Lytechinus pictus: one gene and its partners. The protein of the gene in region 4 purifies or fractionates together with the protein of the main gene of each other region. This does not show direct contact. Links are inferred from orthologs where the notes say so. Each region holds a gene or a part of one and is shown on either strand. Other genes may lie near its edges. The genes, in order: multifunctional protein CAD-like, leupaxin-like, T-complex protein 1 subunit beta-like and integrin-linked protein kinase-like.

What was found.
Region 1: the proteins of integrin-linked protein kinase-like (region 4) and multifunctional protein CAD-like purify together in Homo sapiens (affinity purification with mass spectrometry; 4 studies listed by BioGRID and IntAct, with this or other methods). This does not show direct contact. The link is inferred for Lytechinus pictus from reciprocal best matches to the Homo sapiens genes ILK and CAD.
Region 2: the proteins of integrin-linked protein kinase-like (region 4) and leupaxin-like purify together in Homo sapiens (affinity purification with mass spectrometry; 4 studies listed by BioGRID and IntAct, with this or other methods). This does not show direct contact. The link is inferred for Lytechinus pictus from reciprocal best matches to the Homo sapiens genes ILK and PXN.
Region 3: the proteins of integrin-linked protein kinase-like (region 4) and T-complex protein 1 subunit beta-like purify together in Homo sapiens (affinity purification with mass spectrometry; 3 studies listed by BioGRID and IntAct, with this or other methods). This does not show direct contact. The link is inferred for Lytechinus pictus from reciprocal best matches to the Homo sapiens genes ILK and CCT2.

Annotation. Positions count from the first base shown.
Region 1 is NC_087261.1:11,653,396-11,661,371, reverse strand, and holds the start of multifunctional protein CAD-like, read left to right. Parts: upstream 1-4,972; 5' UTR 4,973-5,410; coding exon 5,411-5,495; intron 5,496-7,845; coding exon 7,846-7,976. UniProt on the Homo sapiens protein: Multifunctional protein that encodes the first 3 enzymatic activities of the de novo pyrimidine pathway: carbamoylphosphate synthetase (CPSase; EC 6.3.5.5), aspartate transcarbamylase (ATCase; EC 2.1.3.2) and dihydroorotase (DHOase; EC 3.5.2.3).
Region 2 is NC_087246.1:21,756,136-21,763,861, forward strand, and holds the start of leupaxin-like, read right to left. Parts: upstream 3,022-7,726; 5' UTR 57-3,021; coding exon 35-56; intron 1-34. UniProt on the Homo sapiens protein: Cytoskeletal protein involved in actin-membrane attachment at sites of cell adhesion to the extracellular matrix (focal adhesion). Recruits other proteins such as TRIM15 to focal adhesion.
Region 3 is NC_087263.1:2,302,691-2,309,697, reverse strand, and holds the start of T-complex protein 1 subunit beta-like, read right to left. Parts: upstream 3,019-7,007; 5' UTR 2,932-3,018; coding exon 2,929-2,931; intron 1,319-2,928; coding exon 1,184-1,318; intron 394-1,183; coding exon 282-393; intron 1-281. UniProt on the Homo sapiens protein: Component of the chaperonin-containing T-complex (TRiC), a molecular chaperone complex that assists the folding of actin, tubulin and other proteins upon ATP hydrolysis.
Region 4 is NW_026974140.1:15,264,814-15,272,313, reverse strand, and holds the start of integrin-linked protein kinase-like, read left to right. Parts: upstream 1-4,482; 5' UTR 4,483-5,210; coding exon 5,211-5,299; intron 5,300-7,500. Other genes in the region: mitochondrial disaggregase-like, read right to left, coding at 407-493, 870-924, 3,979-4,252. UniProt on the Homo sapiens protein: Scaffold protein which mediates protein-protein interactions during a range of cellular events including focal adhesion assembly, cell adhesion and cell migration.

The DNA of each region.
Region 1 (7,976 bases), on a different chromosome or scaffold from region 4:
CTGGTGCACCTGTGTGGATGAAAGAGAAAGGAAAAACAAGGGTGATGGCAGATGAAAGGGAAGGACAAAGAGAAAGGAAGAGAGAGAGAAAGAGAGAGGTTGGGTCCTGAGCGCTCAATTTGGGCTTACTCTATAAGATGCGAGAATGTGCTTTTTTAGCTTGATTTTAAAGCAGTTGAGACTAACGGAGTTAATGATGTCGTGACTGAGTGTATTCCAGTATTTAGGACCGTAAAAGGAAATTGTTTTTTGTGCAAGTAGAGTGCGGGTACGGAGAAGGTGAAAACGGAGGGATTGTCTTGTTGGGTAATTGTGAATGGCGATATTTTTTGTAAACATGTTAATTAATATGTTTGGCAGTTCGTTTAAATTCAATTTGTACATGAATTGCCCTGTTTAAAAAAGAAATAGATCTGGAAGTTTTAAAACATTCGACTTGTAAAATAAATTGTTAGTATGAGAACGAGGAGGAGCATTATGTATAATTCTTATAATGTTCTTTTAGATGAAAATTTTGTCTGTAAGATATTTGTTGGCTTTACCCCATGTCATTATTCCATAATTCAGATACGGAAGTATTAAGGAGGAATATAATGTAAAAAGGGTTGATTTTGGAAAAAAAGTGTCTTAGTTTATTCATTACACCAATATTCCTGAATATAGTTTTGGATATATTTTGAATATGAATGTTCCATTTCAATTCATCGTCAATCATGAGACCTAAGAATTTGGTTGAAGAGACCCTATTTAGAGGAGTGTCGTCCAAAAGGATGTCTCCACGTAGATTTTGCAAAGTATTACTAAATAACATAAAGTTTGTCTTTAGGATTTAAGGGATTGTTAGCTTTAACCTATTCAACTATACGTGTCTCAGTTCAAGATTTATAGTAAATAGTGTATTTTGGTTCGCATGAGAATAAAATAAAACGTATTAACCTTACCCATGCATTTCAGGTCGAAATATGAAATAAAATTTCAGCTCGCGCTTTGCGCTCGCTATATTATAATTGTTCATTTAATTGTTTATTTACTTACAATCATAACTATGATTACCAAAAGTAAATAGGATGTTGTGTTTTAAGGTCTTATTTTTTTTTTTTGAATTTGTGAAAAGGTGCTTATGGTCCTTCTTCGGATCAGTATAGGACTATCAGATATTTCATCTTGCACTTTGCGCTCGTATAGTTACACAGATTGTTCTTAATTCAAAAACGTGTTCAGATTAGCATACAAATTATTCAGGAAGATACAAATTTTAGTCTGCTGTGCAAACCCTTCACTTGAGTTTTGAGTTAAGGGTCTGAATGTGTATCCTACTCATGCCTTGTGTACTGAAGGAAACGGCAAGTTTTGTATGTATATAGTCTTTGCGTGGAGACACGTACACTTGTTGATCAAAGCTTTCAGGGTATGCGCCTGCACCTATCATTTTCAAGATTACAAAAAGTATTTAGAATGTTCCGTTTTTAGGTCTTGGAAAAAAAATCAACTCGCGCTTCGCTATGATTGTATAATATATTACCAAAAGCGATATAAGAATGTCTTGTTTCAAGGTCTAAATCACCAAATAAAAGCTTAGCTTGCTACGTACGCGCTTGTTTTCAGGTCAGTATCTATCTATCTATCTCTATATATCTATCTATCTATATACATAATCATTGGCGGCGGAAGTAAACAAAATAAGGGGGGATCACCAAAAATTTTGACAAGCAAAAAAGGTCATCAACGAAAATTTTAGGGGGAGGCCGACAAAAAAATATGACAAGTAAAAAAAAAAAAAAAAAGGTCATCAACGAAAATTTTTTGGGGGGTCGTCCCGCCACCTCAAATTTAGAGGGGGACACGTCCCCCGTCCCCCCCCCCCCCGCTTCCGCCGCCTATGTACATAAATATATACACACACACACACGCGTGCGCTCGCATCATTAATTTTAGGCCTTATCAGACATCTAATCTTGTTTGCAAGAAAAAAACAAACTAAGATGTACTTACAATTTCGGACTTTAGTGGGAACTACCCCCAACGGACGTACCATTAGATACCCTGGGGGGGGGGGGGGTTAGTAGAAGTTTGGGTTGATGCGATTTTTCCCCCTTTCTTCTTTGAGCAAAGTTATTTTTTTCCTTACTCTATTGAGGCATTTTTTGGAGGGCACCTTTCAGATGTTTGGCAGTGGACCAAGTTGTTTTTACTCTGATCAGATGGTGAGTCAAGTTTTTTTTTTTGAAAAACTTCCATCGCCCCCCTGGATATCTAATGGTGCGTCCCTAAACAAAAATTAAAAAGAAGAAAAAAAAAATCAGCTTTCAATCACTGGCGAATGGGAAAAATGTGAGTGAAAATGTGTTTCCACCCCCCCCCCCCTTAATTGCTTCCGCCGCCAATGGTATAGGGGCCCGTAAAAATTAAACTATTGAGGAATCTTTTCTCGTGAAAATGATTTCCGCATGATTTCGCATAGGGCCTACTGACATTATGTCATTTTTTTGGCAAATTGAATATGATAAACTTTAAAATGGGGGACTTTGAATTATTCAAAATTTATGGGGGCAACTAAGAAAGGGCTTTCAATTGATAAATTAAATGGATCGAAGAAGAAGAATTAAAGTTAGTCGACCATGGAGGTGATGTGTACATTTTCCCCGTCATTCAATAGGGCCTACATGATATATGTGTTGATCTCGCGCAGTGTTTCCACAGATCCAAAACAAATTTCCCGAAATCTCATATTTCCTGAAAAAAGTAGACATTTCCTGGAATTTTAAAATTCTATCTTTTTTAAGGAAAAGGGACAATAACAAAGCGTGTCTAAACTTGGTCCAAGTGACCAAAATCAAGGAATTTAAACTTTTTTGTTGAATGCACTTTTTCAAATAACAAAATTACAAAATGCGAGCGCAGAGCGCTAGCGGGGCGCAGAGCGCGAGCAGAATTTTTTAAAGGAAATATCCTTCAAACCCGGGGGGCCACTTACATTGACGAGTGGATACCATGCGCGACCAAAAAAACACGTAAAAAGGATGTCTTTTTCAAGATAGGGCACGTTACGTACGTAACGTGATAAGGGTGTCAAAAACACAAAAATATTGAAAAAAGGGTATCTATTTAGCCCGAAAAAATATACGTGTTTAGGGTCAAATGTGCGGGGATGATAAAACAAAATCAAAATGTTTTATAAAGGATGTCCTTTTTGCCCCAACACTACGTGTTTATATAGAGTCCGATTTGCGCGAGGTGTGGAAGATGGGGCCGTACTTAACCAAAATAATGGTGTCTAAAGGTAAAACCGACGACCGACGGACGCGTGACATAAAAATAAAATATATCTGTACTTGTTTAGGCTGGGTTCACATAGAAGTATACTATTCTGGTATACGGTGCACGTTTTCGAGGGCACGCGAATAGCTTGAATCGAACAATAGGATTTCCTAATACCGCGGGGTCACATGAGAGGGCACTATACGAAAATGCCGTATAGTTGCGTATAGTATAGTATAGTGGGAATCGTACTTGTTCGATTTTCGTGCAGCGTATACAGACGTGGCAGGTGGTGTTCTGAATTTCCCTATAATATTTCTGTGTGCGTTGGTTAAATGAGGAAAGTTCAAATGAAATGATTTCTTGGTACTCTTTTTATTGGAATTTCTTAGCACATGCCGTCATATTTAAGTTACCCAGCACTTCAGAGTTTATCTCATGCACATGCTGTATTATTTATGTGGGCTCTGCATTTTTCGTTCTGTCTTTTTTGACATTGAAATGACTGAAGATACAAGGTCAAAAAGGTCCGCAGCGAAGGCTACTTGACCTATGTTGCTGTGTATCGCTGAGTCATGTTTAATTAATTACTTAATTATTCTTATAATAAGTCGATAATAATGTGGAAATATATTTAATTCAAGAAAATATTGTTTATAAAATGATTTATTTATTATTTCACTTTTGCTATGATTTCACAAAGCTGGAATGGGGGAGTAGAATCAAGCCCCCCCCCCTAAAAATGACGTCATCAAAGCAAAAATAGGAATGATTGATATAATCAATTAGGCTGATACAGGTTTGAAATCTTAAAATATAAATTTGGAAACATAGCTACAGTATTTCCAATAACATTCCTCAACCCCCCCCCCCCCCTCCCCCAAAATAAAATTTTAGTTTTTAGTGTGTAAAATCATATGGCTCAAATAAACCCATCTCGACGGACTGGCTGAACTAACCCCATTAAAAAAAAATCATTAAAAGTTGTATTAAATAGAAGTTTAATAATTTGCAGAGGTGACAAAAGTCTGCTTGAAGTTAGTCCAAAACAAGCTTATTTTCGAATCTTAGTAAGTTATATGTAGAAAAAATATGATTTCTTTCCTTTTTTTTAGAAATTAATTTCATATGTACCTCCTCAGGCTCGGCCAGTAGGTAAAGAGCCAAATCTTCTTCGTCTGAAGTATTCATTTTGAATATTAAAGTAGGACACGCGTGCTACCTTTATGTGACCCGCCATGCCCGTATAGCGAATAGCGAATAGAGAATACCGTATACCGTATACTTCTATGTGAACCCAGCCCTAGGGGTTCATTTCAGGGAATACTTGCTAAGAGTATCGTTTTGTTTCCAATACTTGTTAAGGGGTGCATTTTCAGAATATGGAAAATACATCGCTGTACTTGTTTAGGGGCTCAGTTCTGGGAATACTTGCCAATAGTATTTGTTTCCAATACTTGTTAAGGGTAGGCATTCACACGCCAATTATACTTGTTAAGGGGTGCATTTTCAGAATATGGAAAATACGTGTTTAGGGTGCTTCTCAAGACCCCGTGGTCGCGCATGGTATCCACTCGTCAATGGAAGTGCCCCCCCCCCCCCCGGGCCTTCAAACTGGAAAGTGGAAACACTGAGCTCGCCGCGTGCATGCAGTACACATCAGGCGAGCTAACCGCCGCGCGCCCCGTACGCTCGCGCGCGCTGCTTGAAAATCATAATGGCAGCTCGTCAACTGCTGCCGTCTCATTCTTTGACGAACATCCCGCTTATTCCGGAATCTTTTCATTTTTCGACATTGTTTGATACGTTGATGTACTGAAATTCACCGCCTTGGAAGTAACTCAATCGGTACTCCATCCATGGTATGAATGTCTTGTAGCGTTTGGTCATCCTAAGGGAAATAATTCACATTGATTCAGAATTGAAACTCGTCGCCGAACTGTGTCTGTGACTGAGGAGCCCACGTGTTGTGTGAAGACGAACTTGTCATCCGGAAGGAAGCGCGCCCGCGGGAAAGTTTGAATAGGTGCATTGAGCGTGCATGATCATCATAGACCGATTGCAACGTACCGGTAATCAGCTGTCCGCTAGCCGAAACTCTCCCGTCAGTCAAAGCCGACTTTGGTGAAGTTGTCATTACGTGCAATTCAGGATGTCAGCCACCCTTTGCTTAGCAGATGGCACCCAGTATTCGGGGAAGTTATTTGGAGCTAACTGCAGTGTTTCTGGAGAAGTTGGTAAGAAACTAGAAGAAAGTATTTATTTTAACATTTATTATTTTCATTTTCAATGAGTGTCAATTATAACAATTAACAACTCTAACTTAATTAATCTGATTCTGACTCAGCTCAGCTAGCATTAACTTTAAATTAGAGTAAATAACAAACAGTGAGTTTCAGTTACACCTAGCCAGGCGGCTTCTACTAGAGAGTAAAAATCATTTACTAACGTAAGGTTACTCTCATACGAAGCCAGGCATTCCCCCCCATTCATCTGCGTGTACATAACTACATGTACCGCAAAAAACCCTGAAACTTTCGCCCCCGAGATTTCTACTTTCCTTCTAAAAGATCTAGCTCTAAATCATGTAAATGGGATAAAACTTCATTTCTGACATTTCTACGCTCTCGTTGTTATTTGTAAAACAAGAATTCATCAAAAAAATGAAAAAATATTGTGAAAAGACGGAAGAGATTTGCCCGATGTTTACGCCGCCATCTTATTTCTTATTGTACGTTACGCGACGCTCGCGTCCGTAACGTTGGGGAAAAACGAAAAGTTCTCTCCTTCTACCCCCGTTTCGATCGGCCATTTTTGTTAAAAATCGTAACAAAATGGCCGATCAAGACTGGGGTAGAGGAGAGAACTTTTCGTTTTTTTGAGGTTCCAGTCTGTGCCCAGATGTCAGGAAACTGCCACTCGTTAGACCTTCATCCATATAATCGTGGTAATTGTATACTTTCTGTTTTCACAATTCATTTGGAGAAATATTTAGACCATAAATCACCCTAGTCCGGTGACTATGGTCAAATACACGGTAAGCTCCTGGGCTCCCTGGGTTAGAGTTTCATATGCACCCCCACTAAAATTGAAATTAAGACATGGAGAAGGATCAGAATAATATATCTAGCCCTAATATAGAACATATATGATGGGGGAGTGGAAATACATACCAAAATGTGGCTTTATTCTGTCAAATTTCGAGCAGGATCTTGTGCGTGTAATTGTCCATAGAGTAGACATCGCTTTATTTAGTCAGTAAATTAAGGGTCTGTGAGTCTAGACTAGTCGAACTATCGGCTGATAATCGTTAAAATACCCCTTCCGGTAGTGAGAAGAGGTCTTGACTGCAGATACATGTAAAATGTGGTGAGTTTGAGTCCCAACTTGTCTTAGGTAAGCAACAGTAAAAAATGATAGAAAAATCAGAAGTGAACGAACCGGAAGTCTCGACAATCTTGTTATTTTTGGTGGGGGTGCATATGGAACTCTTTCCCACAGATCATGTGACATGTCTTGACTCTTGCCCCAGCTTGCATTGGCAATCCCATTGCCCAGTTTGTTTTGACTTTTGAATTTGAGTGAGTGACTCGCCATGACGTCTTGGGCCGTCCTACTTCGCAGGGATGATACTTTTCATATTAAACTTAAGTTAAAGTCTGAATTCGATCAGCATGATTATTAGACTCTTTCCACATGTTTTTGGTCATGAAATACATGTAGATCATCTAGACTAAAAGGGTCATCATATTTTACTATTTCTAGATGATTTTCAGACTTTTTTTTATTAATCAGGCCTGAGGCCTGACTGGCGTCGATGGCCTTTTTTTTTAGTTAATCAGACCTGAGGCCTGAATGGCATCAATGGCCTTTTTTTTAGTCAATTAGACCTGAGGCCTGAATGGCATCAATGGCCCGGCCCAGCTGGGGCTGGGAACAATTTTGTTAAGCAAAAAATAAAAAATAAAGGTCATATTTGGTTACATTTCTGCTATTTATCATGCCTACCAGATTTCCAGGGGGTGCTGCCTACTGTATGGTGAATAACACGCAGCACCACAGGTTCGGGGGGGGGGGGGTTGGAGGAGCTAGGGTGTGGAGAAACTTCTGAAGATACTCATTAAGCAAGGGAGCAAAGGTAGTAACTTGGTCATGGGGCGCCTTTGCATTTGGTTAAGTGTAATGAAAGGATTTTGTGCACACATTTGATGAATTTTGTGACAAAAAATTATGTAAAAATAACAAGTTGGGCGTATTCCAAAGTTCTGAGGGGCAACCACACCCTTCTCCCTCCACTGTGTTCAGCCATGACAATCAAACAGAGTAAGCAATACCGGTAACTGTATATTGTTAACAAGTCTGGCAAACTATTTCCCACTGGATGGTGAACCTAGATCTTTTTTAAAATGTGATAATATTCATTCCTCATGTTCTAGTAATCTTCAACAACCGACTCATTTTTGTGAAATTCTAGACCACAAGTTAGTTTTGGAAATACAAGAAAGATTTGTACATGTATATGTTTATGCTGCGCTGCTGCCAGTACCATCTTTGTCATGGTGTTTCTGCTCTTTTTCTTTTTTTCAGTTTTCCAGACTGGTATGGTTGGCTACCCAGAATCCTTGACAGATCCTTCCTACAAGTACCAGATCCTGATCCTGACCTACCCTCTCATCGGAAACTATGGCATCCCGGCCAACGACAAGGATGAGTTTGGA
Region 2 (7,726 bases), on a different chromosome or scaffold from region 4:
TAAAGAGATTACAAACACCACACATGATCCTTACCCTCTAGGAGATATCCCAACATTTACAGCAAAATATTATATTCCAAATGAGAGATGGATAATCCCTGCTACATATTATGAAGACAAGAAATACATAAGCCTACATACAGTGTGAGCAATGTTTGGTGGCTGTGAAACGCAATGAGATGGATTTGAAAGAAATGTACCGAGATGACTTGGTTACCGCACGCACACGCAGCATCTGGTGGTGACCTCAGACCGGAGTATTAGTCATAACACAGAGAAAGCTCAGTGCAGAGGGGAGTGGAGTGGAGCAAGTGTGGGGTCTCACATGTGATAAGGCCTTTGCCCATATATGAGCATGCTCCCTGCCCCGCTGACTGCCTCTCACCATCACGGCAACGAGCATCCTTGTCAGCATCACTTGGCTGCATCCAATGGTCCCTCGTGTGTAAAAGCAACACATCTGCTCTCCTGTTCATGTCTACAGTATATGTGTCATACATGTAGGTGTGAGGGTAAAACTAAGGTTTCCCAGAAGAGTGTTGGGAAGAAGGGGTGGGGCAGGTGGGAAGGGCAGGGTGTGGATTTTTAGAAAGAGAGGGGTGGAAGGCAGGGAACCAATCAAAAAGAAGGGAAGAGGAGAGAAACAATGGAAGAAAGGAGGATGCAATAAGGGGGAACAGATGAGAATGGCAGAATGTCAATATTATTAGAAGGGAAGATAAATGACAGGAAGGAAGAGAGAGAGAGAATGGAAGAGAGAGCAGTGGTGAGTGACACAAACAGACAGAGGAGATGGGTGAAAATGAGAAAGGGGAGAAGATGGATTTTTTATCAATAGAGAATGCAGAAAGGAGGTGCAACGAGAGAAGAGGAGAAGGATGGGGCAATGGAGATGTCATTGACGAGAGAAATGTGCCGTGGAATATTCATCAGCATCAAGAGGAAACACATACTGTCCAAACATGAGTAAAGGTGAAGGACCTATACCATAAATTCATGGTGGCATCCTTAGTCGAGAGGAAATGGTAGACCAGGATACATTACAATATCTAAAATCAAACAATATTTCAACAAAAGGAAGTCATCATTTTCGTTGCAGGAAAGTGAAGGAGCAATACTTGTTAAAGTGAACACAGATTCAATAAGATTTTGAAGACGGACTACAAAAAATATCACATTCACATGGTTAGGGCTATATATTTTCATTTTCCACCATGCAATTCATCTACTATCCAAAACTGTTGGTGTCTATCGCAGGTACATGTAGGTCTAGACACTGGAATAAAAATCTGATCTTGTGTATGTTATGGTTCCATGACATTTGCTCCGACGACAATTGTTTTGATGGAAAATCTGCACGTTTAGCCAAACATAAAACCTACATGTAGCCTCCGAAACTATATAAATTCCAATCCTTTTCTTAACATTACTTTTAACCAAAAACTCTATAACATTTACAATCTTAACTCTAATCCCATGCCCTCTGAAATATTTAGAGTGTAGCAACTGCCACCGTACCTGTCTAGCTACATGTACATGTAGTTATACTGGATGAAATGTGTGTCGGTACAAAGCACTGCCAAGTATTAAAAGTACAACACTAAACCTTATACCCTCAAAACCAATTGAGATGACGGAATGCAGAAGAGGGAGGAAAGAATTAATAATGTAATGATTGAGGAGCGGCAATCAGAGAAGTTCTTAGCATTCTACAATGTACATCACATCTTGATAACACTGCAAAGTACGTTCACAAAATTGAAATAAATAGATTTATATTGCTAGAAATAGCGGGATGATATCGGGGCTGATGGAGATCAAAACTGAACATACCATTCTGTCTACAGGCCCTCCTCACATACTGACAGTCACATTTTCTGACAACACAAATGATACTCCCACACACTCACTGTCATGATCACTACAAACTGTGCCATGCATCATCTCCATCTGAGCTGAATATATTGTTTCCAGAATGTCATCTCATTAAAACAGGGATGAACTCCATCAATGATAGAACCTCTGTTTGCTCTCTCTATGGTAGAATCAGGGCCCCTATGGGCTGGTTTTTACACTTTTATCAATAATACTAATAAATGCAATCAATCATAGAAGTCAGCCCCACGACAAATTACATGTAAGCTATTAAAGGCCTAGTTTGGCTATAAACATGAAAGTATCCTAGGGATAAGAACCTTTTCTTTATAAAGTTATGTGTAACTTGAATATTAACTGCAACAGGGCAAAAAACATAATTCTTTTTTTCATATCATTTTTAACCGAATCATGTTGACATAAAGAATGTTAATTTGAGTTTATAATACAACTCACAAGCAATATACTGTATGTTAAAGCCAATTCGGCAGTGCCACAATTCAACACTAACTTGCAAGTTGGTCAAACAATCACTCAATCGCAATCGCTCGTTACATCTTACTCTTAGAACTAAGAAAACTCACTGGCTTTCAATACTTGAGTTTGATAAATTCGATCGCAACTCTTTGATAGAAAGGGCCCAGACCTTTTTTTTTTACTTTATAAGATAGATAGTAGAATTTAGAACCATTTGGAGGCAACAGGAGCGGGGGCAAAACCCCTTGTCCTGCCATCAACCTCTCCCAAAATATCAGCAACATTCCTTCATGTATATCACCTGATATTTGAAAGTGCAGAAAGGGATGTGAAATCCTTTTTAATCTTTTTCACTCATTGGCCCCCATCAATCACTGACATACTGTAAATAATGGCACCATTTCACCTCCGATGACACTTCTTTCCATGCAGGCTAGTGCAGAGTATGGAGGTACATACATGAACATGTAATATTACTTTTTGATATCCCAAATGTATATTCACAGCACTGTGCAATACAGTGTTTCTTGTAATCCAACAACCTGGGTTTGAAACCAACAAACCAAATCAATGCGCTACATGTTTGTAAAACCCCCTTGGATAATAGAATACCCAGTAAAATTATGTTCAAAAGAAATCAATCATCACTACCAAGTACATATGTAGGCCTAGATGTATAGTGGAGAAGAACACTGGAACAAAAGGATAAACAATTTGCTCATCAAAATTTTACCTTCTTCTATAGGCTAATGAAGGTATAGGCCTATACATTTTGCGCTATCTATTAGTGCATACCGGTACATGGTATCTCTAAAGAGCAAAATTTCCATTTCTTTTTCTTTATAATCACCATCCAGTATGAATTTGATGCACTGATTGATATTCCAAATAACACTCATGGGATTTGAAGCCGGTACTATCAAAAGATGATAATGAGGAGCCTGAACATGCATTACAAATTTGCAGTCATAGTCTACTCAAATAAATGTGGCCAATATGTGAATCTCTTCCAATACATGACTTTTCTGCATGACTGCTCATTAATGCACCAGTTACAAGTATATTGCCTGCTACTGTAGGTGACATTTCATGGAGATAAAAACATAAATGAACATGACATAGCCTACATGTACATGTATGTGAGTCATCACACACACCACTGAATATCAGGGGCGGTATTCTGAGGTCGTTTTATCTTTAAAATATTTTATTTTATCTCTTAAAATGAAATTGGTATTCTGAGATGACATTTTATCTCTCAGATAAAATTTAACATTTTATCATGCTTATAAATTTTATCTTGCGTATCTATGATGATACGCAACAGAGCAGTGGCTGCGTAGACATACCCATCGCGTATCTGGCCATTGCAAAGCGGGTAATGTGCTTGCGCCCAAGTTACTTTGAAGAAAAAATAAAATAACCTTAAAAGAGGGTAGGGGCTATTTTATCTCCGCGACGTTGATTTCGTCAATATTTCTAGGTGAATTAACTCCAACTGTTGGCATGAAATTTAAGAGAAATTATAGATTCATTGAGAACAACACCTTAAAGTTATTCCTGTACAATCAGGAAGCATTTCTTTTCTTGACTAATATTGTCTTTGAAATGATGCTTGAAAAGATGCGATATAGACATCGATAAAGAGATGAGAGTAATGCAATTTTAGTTAAAAAGAAATCTCTGTAAAGACGCGCAAGCGTATAGTGCAAGCGTATTGAAGTCAATAAATTGACGCAATCTCACTCCTTTGCCACACCTCCTAGCGGAATGGATTTCCATTGGTTGAGTGATATGAGAGAGCTATAAAAGCGCGTTTCTAATTGGATATTGATTAAAAAATAGGTGTGTCTTACAGAGATAAAATGAAGATAAAATTGTTCTCAGAATACCAATTCGGAGAGATTTTAAGGGTATTTTATCTCACTGATTTTAACGGAGGTAAAATATTTTATTTTAACTGAGATAAAATGGATCTCAGAATACCACCCCAGGGCTTTTCAGGCCTACATACAAATACATATGTACATGGACCCTCCTGACCGCTCCCATCTGCCCCACCCCAAAGCAAACTTTTTATCTTCTAAAAAAAGGATGTGCATGAGAGTGTAGACCTGGGGAAACTGTTTCCCGGCGAAGTTCGCCAGTGAAACAGCCAGTATGAAAGGTAACCGGAGAACTTCTCCTCTTTGATGACGTCAGAGGTCATTTTTTTCTCCCCGAAATCCCCTGAACTGAGATTCCGCGCGCTAGCTACATGTAGCTATTATTTCCGTGGATAAATGTAGAAGGCCAAGCTTTATGAGCGATTCAATAATTCCATAGAGTTAAATACCCTCGAACATACAGTTTGTTTTTTCACTAACGATATTCATTATAAAAGCATTATTTTACATGCTGGAAATGCGCTTAAAATATCAAAATACTTTGATTTTTTTTTGGTTTTGCTTCTAATATTTCTAGAATTGGTTGTAATTTATATTTTAACACCTTTTTGTAATCGGTAAGAAGCAATGTTTACAATTCATTTTATTTTTGTTCGTTCTAATTCTGCATGCACCTGCTGAGTGAGCTGATCAGCAGGAGCAGCTGAGAAGTGTTTACCTGCCGTCATCTCCAAAACTTCACTGTAAGAATTAATCAGGTGTCTGCAATTAATAAGAAAAGAGTAAAATAAAAATTCAAATTAAAAAAAGCGCACGCTTTCATTGACACCGGGTCTGCACTTACTTCCGCCCGAGCAAATTACCAATCGCCTTTCGCCGGGGAAGTGCAAAAGGGTACATATTTTTTCTTCGCCGGGGAAGTGAGGAATGCATGCCAGAGAAGTTCGCCGGGGAAAAATGAAGAGACCAGTCTGAAAGGAGTAATAGATTACTTGCACACTGAAGAAATAGGATCCACTGTATAAGAATGTTTTTGATAGACCTCAATTTATTAATTGGTGTCGTTCATTCGCTCTGAAGTCCTGAAGCACCTTTAGCATAAATAAAGATGGAAAGTTCACCACATGTACAGTACATAGGCCTAAATCTTAATATTGAATTATTAATCATTATTTTTTATACTATCTGTATCATTTAGCTTACATGTAGATTTATTTTCATGTCCGCCTAGTGAGGTTGATACTCATGAGGATCCTGCTATTTCTTCCACTCAAATAAGCTATCATTCACTGCTCTGGATAGGCAATAAATAATTTGCAGTCAATGTCAACAATGCCAAGAATGCCACATTTCCTGGAGCATCCAGATTAACCATAAGACCAGACAGACAGAAATAGTCTTTCAAAATGGACATTATCATTCTTCGCATGTGAAATTAATAAATTTGTAACATTTGAAGAGCTTTGCCACCCCCCCGGAAAAAAAATTGATTACCGGTAGCCTTGCAATGTCCCTCTCTTTGGCCCTAAATAGGCCTATACATGTACATGTATTTTTTTGCCTTTTTCATTTCCCCATTTGCGTTGTTAATATAAAATGTGCCCTTGCCCTAAAAATACAGAAATACAAAGTATCTGTAGCCTCGACCTAATTCCCCTTACATGGGACCTACATTGATTGATTGATAGTTTATTTTGCTTTTAAGAGTGTCATCTGCACCAATCAGCCACATTTTACATAAAACCAATTATATTACCTAGCACACAATTATTAACAAGTAAAATCAAAGTACAAAAAATAAAGACAAAATAACAAATGGGTCTGATTTGCTTTTGGTGTAGACTAATATTCAGAGAGAGGGATGCCCAGATGGGGATCAGTCACAACTTCTTCATTCTTTAGATCTTGACCTCATTCATACAGAGGTCCTTGGTGTCATCTAAGGTCAAACACCAAGCTGTTTGGCATTCCACTCTCTAAATAAACATGATATGCTAATGATACCACAAGTCCATCCTTCATTTAGTCTGCTTATTCAGACATTATTATAGTTCACGATACCACAAGGAGTACATGTAGGCATACTATCAAGACCAACATGTATATACCTTTGAAAGTAGTGCTGTTATCAATAACCTCTTTATCGCTAGTCTTGTTGATAAACGCATGTTTTTTGCCACTTAGCAAATAGCGATATCGATAACTTTTCTCTCATTGTCGATAATACCTGATATTATGTAGGGACATACAGTTCAAAATACAAATTTCTGAGACTGACAAAGAAAAATTGAGAAATCTCAAGAACAAGTGGAATGCCTAGTCTAGCAGATCATAAAACGGGTCTTTATACTTGAACAACATTCTGGTGATATTTCAAAAACTTATGCTTAGTTCTATAGATGTTGACTACACCACCAACCTCAGAAAAGCGGCGCCTACATGTACATGTATGTCTCACTTCTGCCAATGTATGCAGGCAAGACAAACATGAAAAGGTTGAAAACATATATGTATTTTAAGGCATACATGTACATGTACATGTAGGCCTAAAAACAGCCTATTTAAATTCAAAGAAGACTTTTATTTAAACAAAAAAAACAAAACAACTGTAATGTTAGATTCATAGACACTGGTTAAGGACTTGGACTTGATTTTTTTTACTCTTCCTACAATGGGATGCAGGACTTACATGTAGGCCTAAAAAGCTGACTGGAGTACCGGGGGGGGGGGTACTTCCATTGACAAATGGATACCATGCATGACCAAAAATACACGTAAAAAGGATCTCTTTTTCAAGATAGGGCTTATTACGTACGTAACGTGTCAAAAACAATAAAATAATGAAAAAAGGGTATATATTTTGCTAGGAAAACTTTGTGTTTACGGTCCAATTTGCGAGGGTATAAAAAGACTATAGGCCTACAACCTGTAGATGTACTTTTTGCCCCAACACTACGTGCTTAGGGTCCAAATCGAGCGAGGTGTGTGGGGTAGTACTCCCCCGCCCAATGAAAGTAAAAGGTATAAGCAGACGTCCATGATCATGTCCGTGACAAACAGTTATTACAGACATTGTTGTACTTGTTAAGGGGCTCAATTCAGGGTTCTTTTCAAGGGTATCATTTTGTTTCCAATACTTGTTAAAGGTAAATGCTAGTTTTGGTAACGATATCAAAATGAGTTCGTACAGAATCCAATGAAATGACCACCAAAGTGTCTGTTTGTATAAATAAAACGCATGTGCCAAAGGATTCTGGAAGAAATTGTGTAATTGCTGAGAAATCAGCAAATAAGCACAGGATTCGGGTAGAGCGTCGGGCCCGACGCTCAAAGCAATAATTATACACTGTCCCACGTGCGCTTATCTGTGTTGGGGAAGTTCAGTCTGAACATTTTTCAGCGTAGATTTCAAGATTTCACAACATTCAGTTTATGTAACTGTACCAGATCTAGATCCTCGATGATATACTGACAATTAAGCCTGGTTT
Region 3 (7,007 bases), on a different chromosome or scaffold from region 4:
AATTTCAATTCAATTAAATTTATTCATTTAACCATCATCAGGTACAAACAATTACATAAATAGATACCAATATAAATAATTATTCAAATACTAAATATAACAATAGAATGATGGTTTGGTAACCCCAAAGAAAGCAGAGCTTATAAAAAGGGGCCACCAAGTTGAAATGTACACTGAAAATATACAATAAATAATGATAATTACACTAAGTACACTGATGTAACAGCCTAAGGAAAAACTAAACAAAACAATAAACATCAAATAACATCAATCCAACTTACCAACAAGGATCTTAGCAGCTGGATTATCCACTCCGATGGATTTCAGAATGGTGGCACCATCATTCGTGACAGTGAGTGGTGCTGTTGGGCTGTTACTCTGTAAGATCTTGTCCTGGGGATAAAAAGTACAATCGTCAAATTAGTTTGGTGCATCTCGAGGAAGCAAACCATTGACAATATCTATACTAATGATGCAATAAAAGTTCATCCCTTTCACAAAATCAAATGTTATAGAGAGTAAAAGACCACATTTATTTCACTATCCTGAGAGCAAAAAGCAATAGGTTTAGAAGACCAAATCTAACGTTCTGTGCTTCTATAAAAGTCGAAGAATATTTATGTACGAAAAGATAAAACATGATCGGCATAGTTGTTTTTCATCATTGTCCTGATTTTTTCCCCCCAATAATCCATCTGTTAGATCATTTTAAATTTTAAGAATACAAGGTGATCATCTTTAGAAAGAAATTCCTTTTTCCAAGCAGAACAGCTTACGGCCAGGGCTCCACACTAACCCTTTTTTTCTACTGGTCCAACCTGTTCATGTCGGACCAGTAGATACCCAATTTCTCCTTATTTTACTGGTCCGAACCTAAATATACTGGTCCCCCAAACTAAAGAACACCATAAACAAGAATAAGTTTATTTTGCTGTCATTTATTGCTTTTATTGCCCCCCCCCCCAAAAAAAAAATACAAACAAACAGTACACACAGCACAATTCATGAGAGCCATTTTTATAATTTACAAGAGGAGAAAATATAATTTGTATAAGCTTGAAATATTTTTTACTGGTCACGTCAGACCAGTAAATCTGGGTAATTCTGAAAAGTTACTGGCCCGACAGCAATTTTTACTGGTCTGGGACCGTCGGACCAGTGCCAGTGTCGCGCGCAGGCTTACCATTCCTTTGGGACCTAGTGTGCTCTTGATCAAGTCTCCAATGGCGATGGCGCCAATGAAAGATGACATACGAGCAAGCTCTGCTTTCTCCTCCTCCGCATTATGCTTTAGAATCTGAACAGGTTGAAGGGATACCTATGACAAACAATAAGAAGTGGAAATTAAACATGCAAAAATTTCTTAAATCATGTTGTCTCTCTACTGATAAAAAAAATTTCCATGTTGACAATGCTCAATGTAAATACATTGGGTACGAAAATACATTAATAAAAAAAAAAAAAAAAAATATATATATATATATATATATATATATATATATTATTAATGCCATTTAACTTGAATTTATGAAAGAACCTAAAGCAAGGTTTACATGTAAAAGAAAATTGATGCTGATATTAAGCTGGTTTAGCAGGGGAAAAAAGAAAAAGTATCACTACAAAGCCTGGCTTGGCAATAAACCATTTATTTTGAAGAACACCAGATGCATAGTTATATTAATGGAATGAGTGAATACAGCAGTTTTTCCATTTTTCAATTTCCCCCTCCCCTTATTTCATTCACTTTTATCAATATCCCTCCTTTTTTCTCTTTTTTCCCTCCTCCCTCCCTATTTTCGTCTTTTTTCTCTTTTTTGCGCTGCCAATACAGTGGGGAGCTGGGGGCGGACCCTTTGACCCCCGCCTGGATTATTTAGGCTAATCGCCACGCACAAAAAAATCAAGCCATAGAAGTCACGTGTTGTGGACGCTAGAAGTGGGGTCGCAGCATGCGTGACCCACTAGTAAGAAATCCACTGCCAAACGCGGTTCATGGTGCGAGGTTAGCAATAGTATACTAATACTAACCTCGCACAAATTATTCCATTTTATCTTTATTATTCCATGTTACATCTGAAGGTCAAACATCAATTTGGTATCCTGCCCCCCCCCCCCCGAGTTTAAGGTAAATTTGATGCCGCTTCATTTCAGGTCAATTTGGCACCCCAAAGGTCGAACTCAAACATGAATTTGCCCCCCCCCCCCACTTCCCGGCTTTTTAATTACTTTTTTTCCTCTCTCCCCTTTTTTCTCCTTTCTCCCCTTCCCTCTTTTTCCTCTACCCTCTCTTTTTTCCCCCTTTTGTCTCTTACTCTTCATGTCTTTTTACTATTTTTCTCTCCCTTTTCTTGTCCTCTCTTTCCTTCCCCCTTTTCAGCGCTCTCCCCTCCCTTTACATAGTACATGCATGATTGCTTGCCTTGCAGTTGAAACAACAACAGCACACACACTCATGACACTTTCTTTGTGTTCACTGGACTGTCCAGCCTCCAGGCGTTTCTCTAAATCTGCATCATTTTCATTCTCTGTCTCTGACCAAATCAAGAATGAAGAAAGCAGCACCGGGAATCCGGGATTGCCAAAAGATTTTAGGACAACAAAAAATACTGAATTCACCACTTAATTTTCGTAATTGAGATAGATCTAATAGTTATCCTTATTTACTATCAAAGTATAATTAGAAAAGTTAAGATTGGGAGCGCTCAGGCTCAGCCTCATCCATAACGAAATCATCATTTTGGGGAAAATACACAAAAATCAATAGGCGGGATCAGGGTAATTTGCGGTTGCCAAGCAATTATAACCGGCGGACACTTCATGTAATTAAAAACATTGTATGACAATCATGCATAAAATAAAATCCATCTAATGGATAAGCACTAAATTCATATTTAACGATAATGATATATAAACAGTGAATATGCATACCATTTTGAAGAATTAGGGTGTGTTTCGAGTGAATTTTCGATCTCTTTTTTAGCACGAGGAACTGTAAAATTTTCAACACCAGAGGGCGACGTGCGTTGAAATTTAGGCTCGGTAGAACCGTCTCGAACATTTTGTAAAAGGCCCTACATAATATATAGTTACCGGTAATATAAAAACAAAATTGATTCCCACATAGGCCTATGCCTTAATCAATAATCAAACCAAACTAGATCCGACGCTGGATGGATCAATGTGAGTTTAAAACATAAACTAAACTAACTAAACTAATATACAAAAAAATACAATTGATATACGCGACGCTTCCCAGAAGGAAAAACCAGTTCCACTGGACCAGTTAGACCAGTAGAATTTTAACTGATAACTCTGGAAATTGGAACATCGATTTTCTGGTCTAACTGGTCCAGTATACTGGTCTTGTTACTGGTCTCACTGGTCTTCATACTGGTATCCAATTCAAGCTGGTCTTTACTGGTATTTTCTACTGGTGTGACTGGTCCTCGAACTGGTCGTACTGGTCCTCGTACTGGTCTTACTGGTTCAATTTATTACATGCATTTGGTTTGTTATATACCATGGTCAGTGAAATGTGATGGAAAAGATGGTTAGTAAATTAATATTTCTGCTGTTATTTTAAATGTGATATATGAAATTACACATTTTCATTGTGAATTAGTTCACACACTTATTTAGAAAGTTTTTAAACAATAATGAGTGCCATTGCATGCAAGGATATTTTATTCTAAATCCTGATTTTTCTTTAAAAAATAGGAAATATGCAAATGAGGTAATCCACGTGATCAGTTTCATCAGAATTACTGGTATTGCTGGTCTTGACCAGTTCAATTTCAAACAATGAATTACTTTAGACCAGTTGACTATATATCAGAGGAATATATCTTGCTTTGATCTTGATCATAATTATTTTAATGATAATGTTAATACTTGATAATTATGATAATATTAATAATACAATGATAACAGTAATAAGAATGATAACAACAATGATCATAATAATCATAATAATAATAATGATAATGATAATTATACATAATGGTTAGTCGCGTGCATTTGAGTGTCCGAAAGTCCCCACACACAGCTTCAACACAGGGAACAGTGGTTTTCATAAACGTAATATTGCAGAAATCCGGGTATATCTTTATAACTATTAATAATCTCACACCAGATTGATAATAGTGTGAAAATTGTATCCAATTCCATTAATTCGATGTAAATATTATTACAATTAATACACTATTAACGTCTCGCTGTTCATTTGAAAGTGTCCATGTTCACAACTTTTGTTATGGCAAACGGTTTAAAACCATCCATATTTTCGAGACGCTGGCACCTTTGTTTTCCCCCTGGAATTTATTTATTTATTTATTTATTTATTTATTTTGTTTTATTTATTTTATACTGCAGGGTAGGCCTGTTCAGTTCTTAAAACTGCTTTACAAAGGCGCCCTGCAGTTTAAAATAAATGTCAAGATAACTATGAACAACAACAAACAACATCAAAAATACAAAAATACAAAATATCTAACATCAGAAACAATTAACACCAAAATATAGAGTGGGAAGTGACAATTTAAACATACATAGCATTGTAAATCAAAGAAATATCATTTCGCCCTTTATCAATTCGTATGAAAGGCTTTGCATAATTTTTTAAAAACTAACAAGGAGGTACAAACTTGTAAATTTGAAGGAAGTGCATTAAATAATTTGGGTCCGACATATGCGAAAGATTTTCTTTTATGTTCAATTCTAGCTTTGGGAAGCTGAAGGGGGCATCGTAAAGAATACCGTGTCCTGTATTTCACGGGCCGTTTACATACTAAAGGTTTTAAATAATTTGGAACTAAATTATTCATTATTTTATATACAAGAACACAATACTGATATTTTATACGCTGATCTACTGATTGCCACTTCAGTGACTGCAACAAAGAAATTTGTGATGTATTATAATCTTTTTTCAAAAGCATTCTGGCATATTTATTTTGAAGTTTTTGTATCTTATCTAAATGTATTTTTGCACTGCTTCCCCAAGATGTAATACAGTAATCAATGTAAGGTAAAACCATAGAAAAGTACAGCTTCTTCATAATATCAAAGGACAGTAAGTGCTTAATCCGCCTTACACAACCTATTGCCCGAGATATTTTACAAACGATATTAGTAATATGTTCGCACCAAGTCAAGCCCGGATCGAGCATGACACCTAAGTATTTAATCTTTTTTACATTTTCTAATTGTATGTTCCTGAATTTCACTGACAAATGAGCACCCCTCAACTTTTTCTTTTGACCAAATACCATGGCTTTTGTTTTTTGCGGGTGTAAATGCATATTATTTAAGTCTAGCCATTTACTTATTGAATCAAAATCATCTTGCAAATACTTTTGTACCTCCTTAATTGATTCACCGTGATTAAAAATGGCGGTATCATCAGCATAAAGAGACATTTTAGAATGTACATGCAATTTCAAATTACACATGTCATTAATAAAAATACAAAATATCAATGGACCCAGTATAGATCCCTGTGGGACACCTGATATATATCCTTGAGGGTCAGAAAGGTCGAGATTGATTGTCATCTCAATGCTAAATAGATTACCTACAGTTTGATGTCTAATACTTTATGACTGAAATAATGGTTACATCTCATTTTTTCCCCAAACTTTGAGATCAAGCAGGCAGAACATGGCATATTTCTGTGTACAACGTCACGTGACTAACGTATGATAGTTTCCGTTCCTAGATCCTTTTCATTTGAAACAATAATTAATACAGTCCAAACAAACTTAATTTACGCATTTAATGTTGAAAGTATCAATGTTCTTGTATTATAAAGCTATGCCTACTTATATTTATAATATAGCTACAGTTTGAGGAGCAAATATCGAGTCCAGAATTGATTTTGATTTGCAAAAGGGTCTGCGTAAGTATACTATATACGAGCAGGCTAGCATCGTCTGCTACGTAAACCAAATGAGCGAACATGACCGAAATTAACCATTATGAGAAGAATGATGATAACAATGATAAATGATAACGAAAAAAACTTTTTCTGAATTGCAAGATTCATTTTCCATAATTCGTCAAATGATCTGATTTGAAATAAAGTCATTATTTATTGGACCAGTAACACCAGTTTGATGAAAAACAATATAACTGGTATTACTACTTTGCTTCAACTGGAATGCAATTGTTTGAACTGGTCTCCAGTTGATTTTTACTGGTCCAATTAAAAATCAACTGGTCCAGTAAACATATATACTGGAAACCAGTAAAAATCTACTGGAAACCATTTTATTGGACCAGTAACACCAGTTTGATGAAAAACAATTTAACTGGTATTACTACTTTGTTTTAACTGGAATGCAATTGTTGGAACTGGTCTCCAGTTGATTTTTACTGGTCCAGTTAAAAATCAACTGGCCCAGTAAAAATATACTGGAAACCAGTAAAAAAAAATTTACTGGTCTTACTGGTTTTTCCTTCTGGGTTGTATAGGCGGATCCCGGCAGATCCATGAGGGCTGCGAATAGCCCCCCCCCCCCATTAGTCTCGGCCAAAAAAAAATGGAGAGGGAGAAAAGACCTCACACTGCCCATTCGATGATATCCATTACAATGCGCTAAGTAAACTATAGGGGAAGGCGGGGTAAGTTGAGCATAGGGGCAAGTTGAGCCACCAGCCCCATGCAGGCCAATAATGAATGAGTACATTATGGTGGTGTCATGTATTGATGACCCATTGCATTACCCCTAACCCCACCACATTGTTTTCAACTTTGAAACAAAAGTTACTTTTTTAGAGGAAAAAATACAAATTTCAGCCAAAAAAGTAAAAATAGGGTGTGAAATAGATAAGTGTTTTTTACCCACACACGTATTTAAAGGTCAAGTCCACCCTAGAAAACTGTTGATTTGAATCGATAGAGAAAAATCAAACAAACATAACGCTGCGAATTTTATCGGTTACACTTCGTAATTCTGAAGGTTCGTAATTCCGAAACACGTAAATTGCCTATACCTCGATGTTCGTTA
Region 4 (7,500 bases):
CGGTGGAAAGAAATATTCTAAGAGAATACCAGGAACACATTCTCAAGAATCAATCAATGATATAGCTGACTATTCAAAGGAAGTATAATGTTTTATTAACAGTGGACTCAATGTAAGCAGTGCATAATGAATGTTCCTGATTTATTACAAGTATATGGACAATCAGAAAATCAAGGAAAGAAAACAACTACAAGGTCTACAATGCAGATATACCTCTGATGCAAAATAAACTTCTTCCTCTTTAAAGGGAACCATGTCTCATTCATCAAATGTAAATTAGGTGACTATAAAGAATAGGAAGTACACTACTACAATCATTCTAAATTTTCACAATAAGATGGTCATTTCCTGAAAAAAAAAAGGTTTTGTCGCTATACACCTTTAGAATATGAGTCTTTGGTCTTACTTTTGATTCTTGTTGACAGCTGCTACATGCAAAGCTGTCCATCCAAGTTGATGCCTCTCATTCACATTGAACCCAGACCTTAGTAATCTACATGTATTTGTGAAAGAGAGTTGTTGGAAGGGAGTGAAAGGGAGGTAGTATAGGAAAAGAGGGGATAGATAGACAGAGGAGAGACAAACATGAGTGAGAATAAGCAATTTTTATAAGTAATCCATGGTGAAAAAAAGGGAACAAGGTCACTAAAATGTTGTTGGCTTTGATTCAATAAAACAATGCAATCCATATTGTCTAATATTTACAAAAACTTTATTCAGGCTTCAAATGTCATCGTTTTGACAAGATCTTCTTCCTAAAACAATTGATGACTTAAACATATCTATGTTTTATTGGTTTTAAATTATGTCATTGTCATAACAACATATTATTTTTTTTCTTTGACTCAAAGTAAATCAAATGAGCTTACCTCAATATTTCATCTACATCATCCTTTCTTGATGCATAGAACCATCTTGCTTTCACTGTAATAAAGAAGAAATTACCATTGTGATGTCACATTCAAGTAGATCCATAATGTGCCATGCAATGTAAATTGAATAAATTGTAATTTTTTCAGAATTATACATTGTCACAGGGTAGATTTGGGCCTACCTTGTGGCTGGGATCTTTTGACTGCAGTGTATGTTCCACGTACCGACATACTTTTGAAAACTTGTTAACAGAATACCAATCACAAAAATAATTAGGTTTTAGAAAACCTTTATTATAGTAAACTATTCTAACAAAGATTACAGGTTATAAACTAAGTATATAGATATTAACAGCTTTATACAATTCAATGATTAATGATGTTGCTTAGTTATTTCTTCTTCATCGCTGATTCTTGGTTTCTTTACTTGAGCGTCCTGACGATGACAATCTGTCTGATGTCAGCTCCTGTCTCTGGACAGACTTAGACCAATGATTCAGTTACAGATCATAAATCCTAAACACCAACTTCTCGTTAGTGTTTACTGATTTATAACGATTCCAAGTTTGTCAATGTGGAATCCCAAGATCCGGACTATCAGATTGTCCTAACAACACCTTGTAAGTTGTTGTATTCACCGAGGGCTGAATACAGTATTCAGATGAAAACTTGTTAATACTTTTGTGCAGTATCTCTAACCAGTAGTATCTCTGTTGAACAATCAGCAGCTTCTGATTTAGACTCACATTCTAGCTTTATTTATAATAATTTTATGCCAATTGTGGAACTCTAATATTCTTAGAAAGTATTATGAAGTATATGGCCCTCTAAATATCATTGGCCATTAAATACCTAGTCACTCACTTTGTCCCTTGAATTTGATTGGTTAAGATATTTTACTACCACTTCCACCGGAAGGAGTGGGAAACAAGACTCTGGGAAATGTCTGACGTCTTGGCTGGGTCAAAGTTTACAATTCTAGCCCATTCATCCTGGTTCTTCTCCTTTTATTGGCATAAGGCTTTTCTTTCAGGGATATTCCCAAGAAATCTAACTGACCGGTAGTACATATGTATGATGTTTGACCATCGTCATAATTACTTGGAAAACTTTCACCGGAAGTTCTCTTCTTCCTTCTTATGAATTTCATTCATACCTAGGAATGTTTTATTTCTACATTATATTGTATAGAACTTACATTGATGATACATATCGGATAGATTGCTCAAAAACGTGATTCTATGTACAGAGTCAATGCAAATAGTGTTACCCAATCTGCATTGACTTTGTACACGGAGTCACGTTTTCGGGCAATTTTGGGTCTGACATGCACTTACAAAATGTTGTGTTACATGTATTTTGGAACCACGTACCTGGGCATCACAAATTTGGTCTCAGAAGATGTGCAAGGCTTGAAAGTAAAAAGTCACTGAGTGACGAGGTAAAAAATTTCTTGCAGTTGCGAAGTGACAAATTCGTCAAAAGGGGGTCAACTTGACCCCCTCCAAATTAAGTAAGGATTAAATTTTAGGGCAAAGACAGCATTTTTACATCTTTTTATTGTTAAAAATGAATTCCTTGTCCAAAATAACAAAGAAATTGACACAAAAAAAGCCAAGATATACAATTTTGACGAAAATGGGTTGGGGGTCAACAATCTTTTTGCCCCAAATCGTTTTTTGGGCGGCACGCCAGCACCCCCTCAAGGTTTGATTGATTTTTTCGAAAAATAATGAGAAAGTTATGAGCATTTGAATATTGCAATCACTAATGCTATGGAGATCCTCATATTGGCAATGCGACAAAGATTTGTGATGTCACTTGTGAACTACTCTCCCCATTAGGCATTACTTTAGTATATATTTCAGTTAAACTGCCTCTTTTTTCACATCTATCAGTAGAGCATATATTCTTTCTATATGAGGGCATGTAATACAGACTTTTAAAGAATACATAATGGATAAAGAGTTTGTATCACCATAAGAAAAAGCAAAAAGATAAATTTTAGGGGTATTTTATAGTCCATCAAAGGGAAAGTTATGTGACATCACACTTGCTTGTTGCATTGCCAATAGGAGGATCTCAATAGCAATTAGCATTAGTGATTGCAATATTCAAATGCTCATAACTTTCTCATTATTTGTCAGATTTTTCTCAAACTTTCTTTGTTCTTATTCTTTGATTTTTCTGTTTCCACACAAGCCTATTTATTACAAAGGTTTCATTCCCCTTCAATTAAAAAAAATTGTATTCATCATTGACAAATATGGGGAATCTAATTGCACACGATATCACAAATTGAAAAAAAAAGAACAATTAATAACTCTTCTAAGTTCTTCATCTGTTCGTTATTTACTAATTCTTTTCATTGTTGATGGATTTTCATCAAACTTTCCCCAAAAAAGGATTGTTTCTGATTTTCTGTCTTAAATTTAAATATTAAATTAATTAAAACCCATTCAGATTTCAGGCCTCAGGCTCAGGGCGACATAGACAGCTGGCAGCCGTCTGTTTCGAGGAGTTTTTAAACATTTGTTTATTTTTTAAATTTCTCCTCATACACAGACGGCTCGCTATCGTGCAGCCACCATTAGGGGACTTACAATGCAAAATCCCCCCGTCGGGGCTCTTCAATTTTTGTCTTTAAAGTTTAAATATGAATCAAACTTTTGAAAATTAATGCGACCAAAATGCAAATTAATATTCCCTCTTGGCATTAATTGCCAAAAAACGGGGAAAATCAAGTTAAAAGGAACAAAAACAGTAACTTACCTCGGCTGTCGCGCAACTTCACTGCCCTGTTTTATCCGAACTTAATACACATAAACATATGGCCATTGAGTCCCCTGTACAGATCGCGCTAGAACTTCGGTCTCTGTATTTGGTGAGTGAAGACAACAGAGTTTAGCTGAACAACCAACATAACAGAGACCGAAGCTTTTGGTCTAACTAAGGGCGACAGAGCCAGAGAGTCATGAAGCCTATGAAGATGAACCTCTTTTGAAACTCCTGATCCCCAGGCCTGGCCCGGTTTTGTTTGGGAGAGATGGGATGGGCACATGGCCTGGCGCTGGCGGGGCCGCAGAACAACCTTCATTTAACTCACCCGTTTCGGCGGACTCAGCACACGCCGCTACTGCCCCGAGGGCAATCGCAGCAGTGGCCCCTACTCCCGCAGTCCGGACACGCCAAGTGGAAATTAAACGATAAATCTGCCTGTTTCCATAGAAGTTCCTTACGTTAAGACAACATCTAAGTGTGGGAGTTCTTCTCGAAATAATGAACTGTGAAATTTCATTCTTTTCGATACTTATTTGCCGTAAACTAAAAAGAAATAGACGTAATTTCATCACATTCGTGGAAACGATGGAGGCTGCCATCTTGAAATGTTGAGTTTGTAAAGCACTGATTAGTTCTTAGAAAATATTGTTGTAGAACTATAATATTGTTAATAAGATTTTTAAAATATGAAAAATTATTAAAAATTTTAATTTAAAATCAACAAAAAGTAATTTTTATTAATAACGGCATAAAAAATGAAGAAAAATATCAATCTTTCTGTATGTAAACATTCCGCAACCTAATTAGGAATGCAAGGAATCTTGACCCCGTGGGCGTGAGGTCATCCATTATCGGAGTCTCTTCAGAAATGAGTGGAGGAGTGGCCCGTGAATGTCGCTCCGAGCTCCGATGCAATATAGCCGACTGACTGCACCAAAGACGTTTTTACCTCGAGTGCGTGACCTTTCTGCTACTTGATGTGTCAAATTTGGCGGGGGTCTCTACAGCAGTTTGTGTGATTTGATGAGAGGATCAACATTGCATTATTTTTGGATGACACTGACTTAGTCAGACTCACTTCAACACAGAAACTTAATAATAATTGTCATTCCTTGATTGAAATCACATTTAACTTTTCGGACTGGATTTTCAAATTTGTGGACCAAACGCAATTGAAACTGAATCTAAAGTAATTGTCACTGGATTTTCATCCATCATCACTTGAGTTGATACTGATAGTCAGTGAACTTTTCATTTGCAGGGTATGATCATCATCATATCTCATGTTATGAGGATTGTCAACATGACTTTGTGGAGAAAATAATACGTTCTTCACTTCTTTCTTTTCAAATTATCTGCTTCTCATCGATAATCTGCACTCTGCAAAGCAGTGAAGCATATCAATAGGAATGGATTATGATTCACTTGAATTAATAAATACATTGATATTCAAGTGACTAATTGTACAGGAATTTCAAACTTTGTTTGAACAGTCGATGGACTTGCTTCGACATCAAGAGGACTCTCACAGGAACTTTTATTAGAGCTGATACAGCAATGGATGATATTTTTTCACAAATCCGTGATGGGAATGCAGTGCACATCAGAGTTTGGTTGGACAAGGTTGAAAATGATCCAAACCAAGGGTAAGAACAATTAGTGTAGAAAAGTTAACCAGAAAAATTGAACTGCTATTTTGTTAAATTGTTAAATTAATTCAGGTCAGCGTTAAAATCAGGGTCAATGTCATGAATCAACATCTTTCATCATCAATGGCATCATTGTCCCCATTATCGATCCAACATCAGCTATCTACCAAGTACCATCATCAACAATATCCCATTGTCTTGTCATTTGTTAACATATTGTAATCATCAATTCTGAATACCATCAGCACAATTGTTATCTTGATGATCATCTTAAAGTTTTGTTTATTTTTACTGTTTTCTTGTTATTTCTATCTCAAATCTGTTCAAGTTTTCAATATTGCATTTATAATCTTTACAGATGCCAAATGCTAATGTTTTATTTTTCTTTGTCTATATTATTGCCTGTAAATTTTTTATGTCACTGATTTACATTGATTCTTGTCAACCAAACTTCATAAAAATTGTCTGGATCACAATTACAAAGTTATACAAGTTCTGGCACTATCAACAAATTTTGCTCTTGACCTACATACCGGTACATTAATAATGGATCAATGCAATATTTTTCTAAATTTTTTTGTGTCTCATCTTCTAGATGTGAACATAATAACTTTGTAAATGGAATTTCATTGATGATTTTCCTTTGTTCAGGGCTTACTTTTTTTTCAGAAAGAAAAGGTTTGTGTATTTAAACCCAAGACTGTATTTTAAGAAATAGAGGGCCTTTATTTTTTATAAGTAAGTGTGCCATAGTAAAAAAAGGGGGAAATTCTTTTCAATCTTTATATTAAAGACATGATCATAAAAAAACGATTGGGCTAAATTGGTTTTATTTTATCAGAGACTTATTTTTTAATCTAAGATATCTACATGTAGTTAGGGCAGATCTAGAGAGTGTTTCACTTGTTTGCATAAAAAATATGAAGAATGCTACATGATGGTATCTTGATATAGTGAAGGAATGTCTTCCATTTTAGTGTAATAAAAGTTTAAATTTTACAAAGATTGCAACAAGTGGTAACATCCTCTGACTGGACCCCATGTACATGTACATGTACATACCATGAAAATATACGTACATGTACACTTCAGAGACTCTGACTTTGTCTGAGATTTTTGTAGTACCTACTCTTTGTCCTGCTCCGTGTTCTTGAAAATTCTTAGTACTGTACATGTATGTACTGTATGATAAATTTGTCATCCATACATCTAGGAAAAGGGCTCAACAGCCAATGATAAACATGGAGCTGTTAATAGCTCTATGGTCTAAGGATTCTATTAAAATTACCATTAGATACCATGATACATTCTAACGTAACAGGCATGGTTAAGTTCATTTTGTTTGAGAGAGCTTTATACCTAGGCTAGTGTAACATGATCAACATGAATGTTTGAAAGCAAACAAGACGTTGTATTGCCAGGTCAATTAAACATTTTACAAGAAGAAAAATATTGAGTAGATTTGTAACTTATCCTTGCAAAGTACATTTTCTCTTGGGCACTGTTGCGAGTAAACTGTACCCTCTTCATGACTGGATGCCAGATATACTTACTTGGATGTAATGTAGCTTATTTGCCCCTCATTAAGTTGGATAGTCTATGATAATGGTAGGGTAAAAATTCTAGTGGATGATTTTTCCAGTGCCTCTCAATAGCTGATTTGAGCATATTCATATTACAATAGAATATAGATGCATGATTGCAATCATTTTGGAAAGGCATTATTGCTTCTGTGCTTTTTTTTTTAATTTCATGCTACATGTATGACCTCTGTGTCTACCATGAAAATCAATCTCAAAGAATTTGTTTAAAGACTGTCAAGTTGATCAAGTCCTCTTCAAATGCTGCATTGTAGCACATTACATGTTCACTTCTAAAATACCAGAACATTTGGTACTCTACATGTACAATGTATGGCCCAAATTCACAAAAGTGGTTTTTGCAAAAACCATGGTTTCTAAAACCCACGGTTTCTAAAACCATGGTTTTAAATGAAACCACCTTTGTAAATTCAGGCCTATGTGTTTTAAAAATGGGGACATTGCTCGACAGTTTTTCCACATTAAATAAGCATGGAGAAAACACATGTTCTGTCATAAAGAAGTTTGCCATCTTGGATATTTGTTTTAAAGGGGAAGTCCACCCTGACAAAAAGTTTATTGTAAAAATAGCAGAAAAAATGATTAAAAATATTGCCG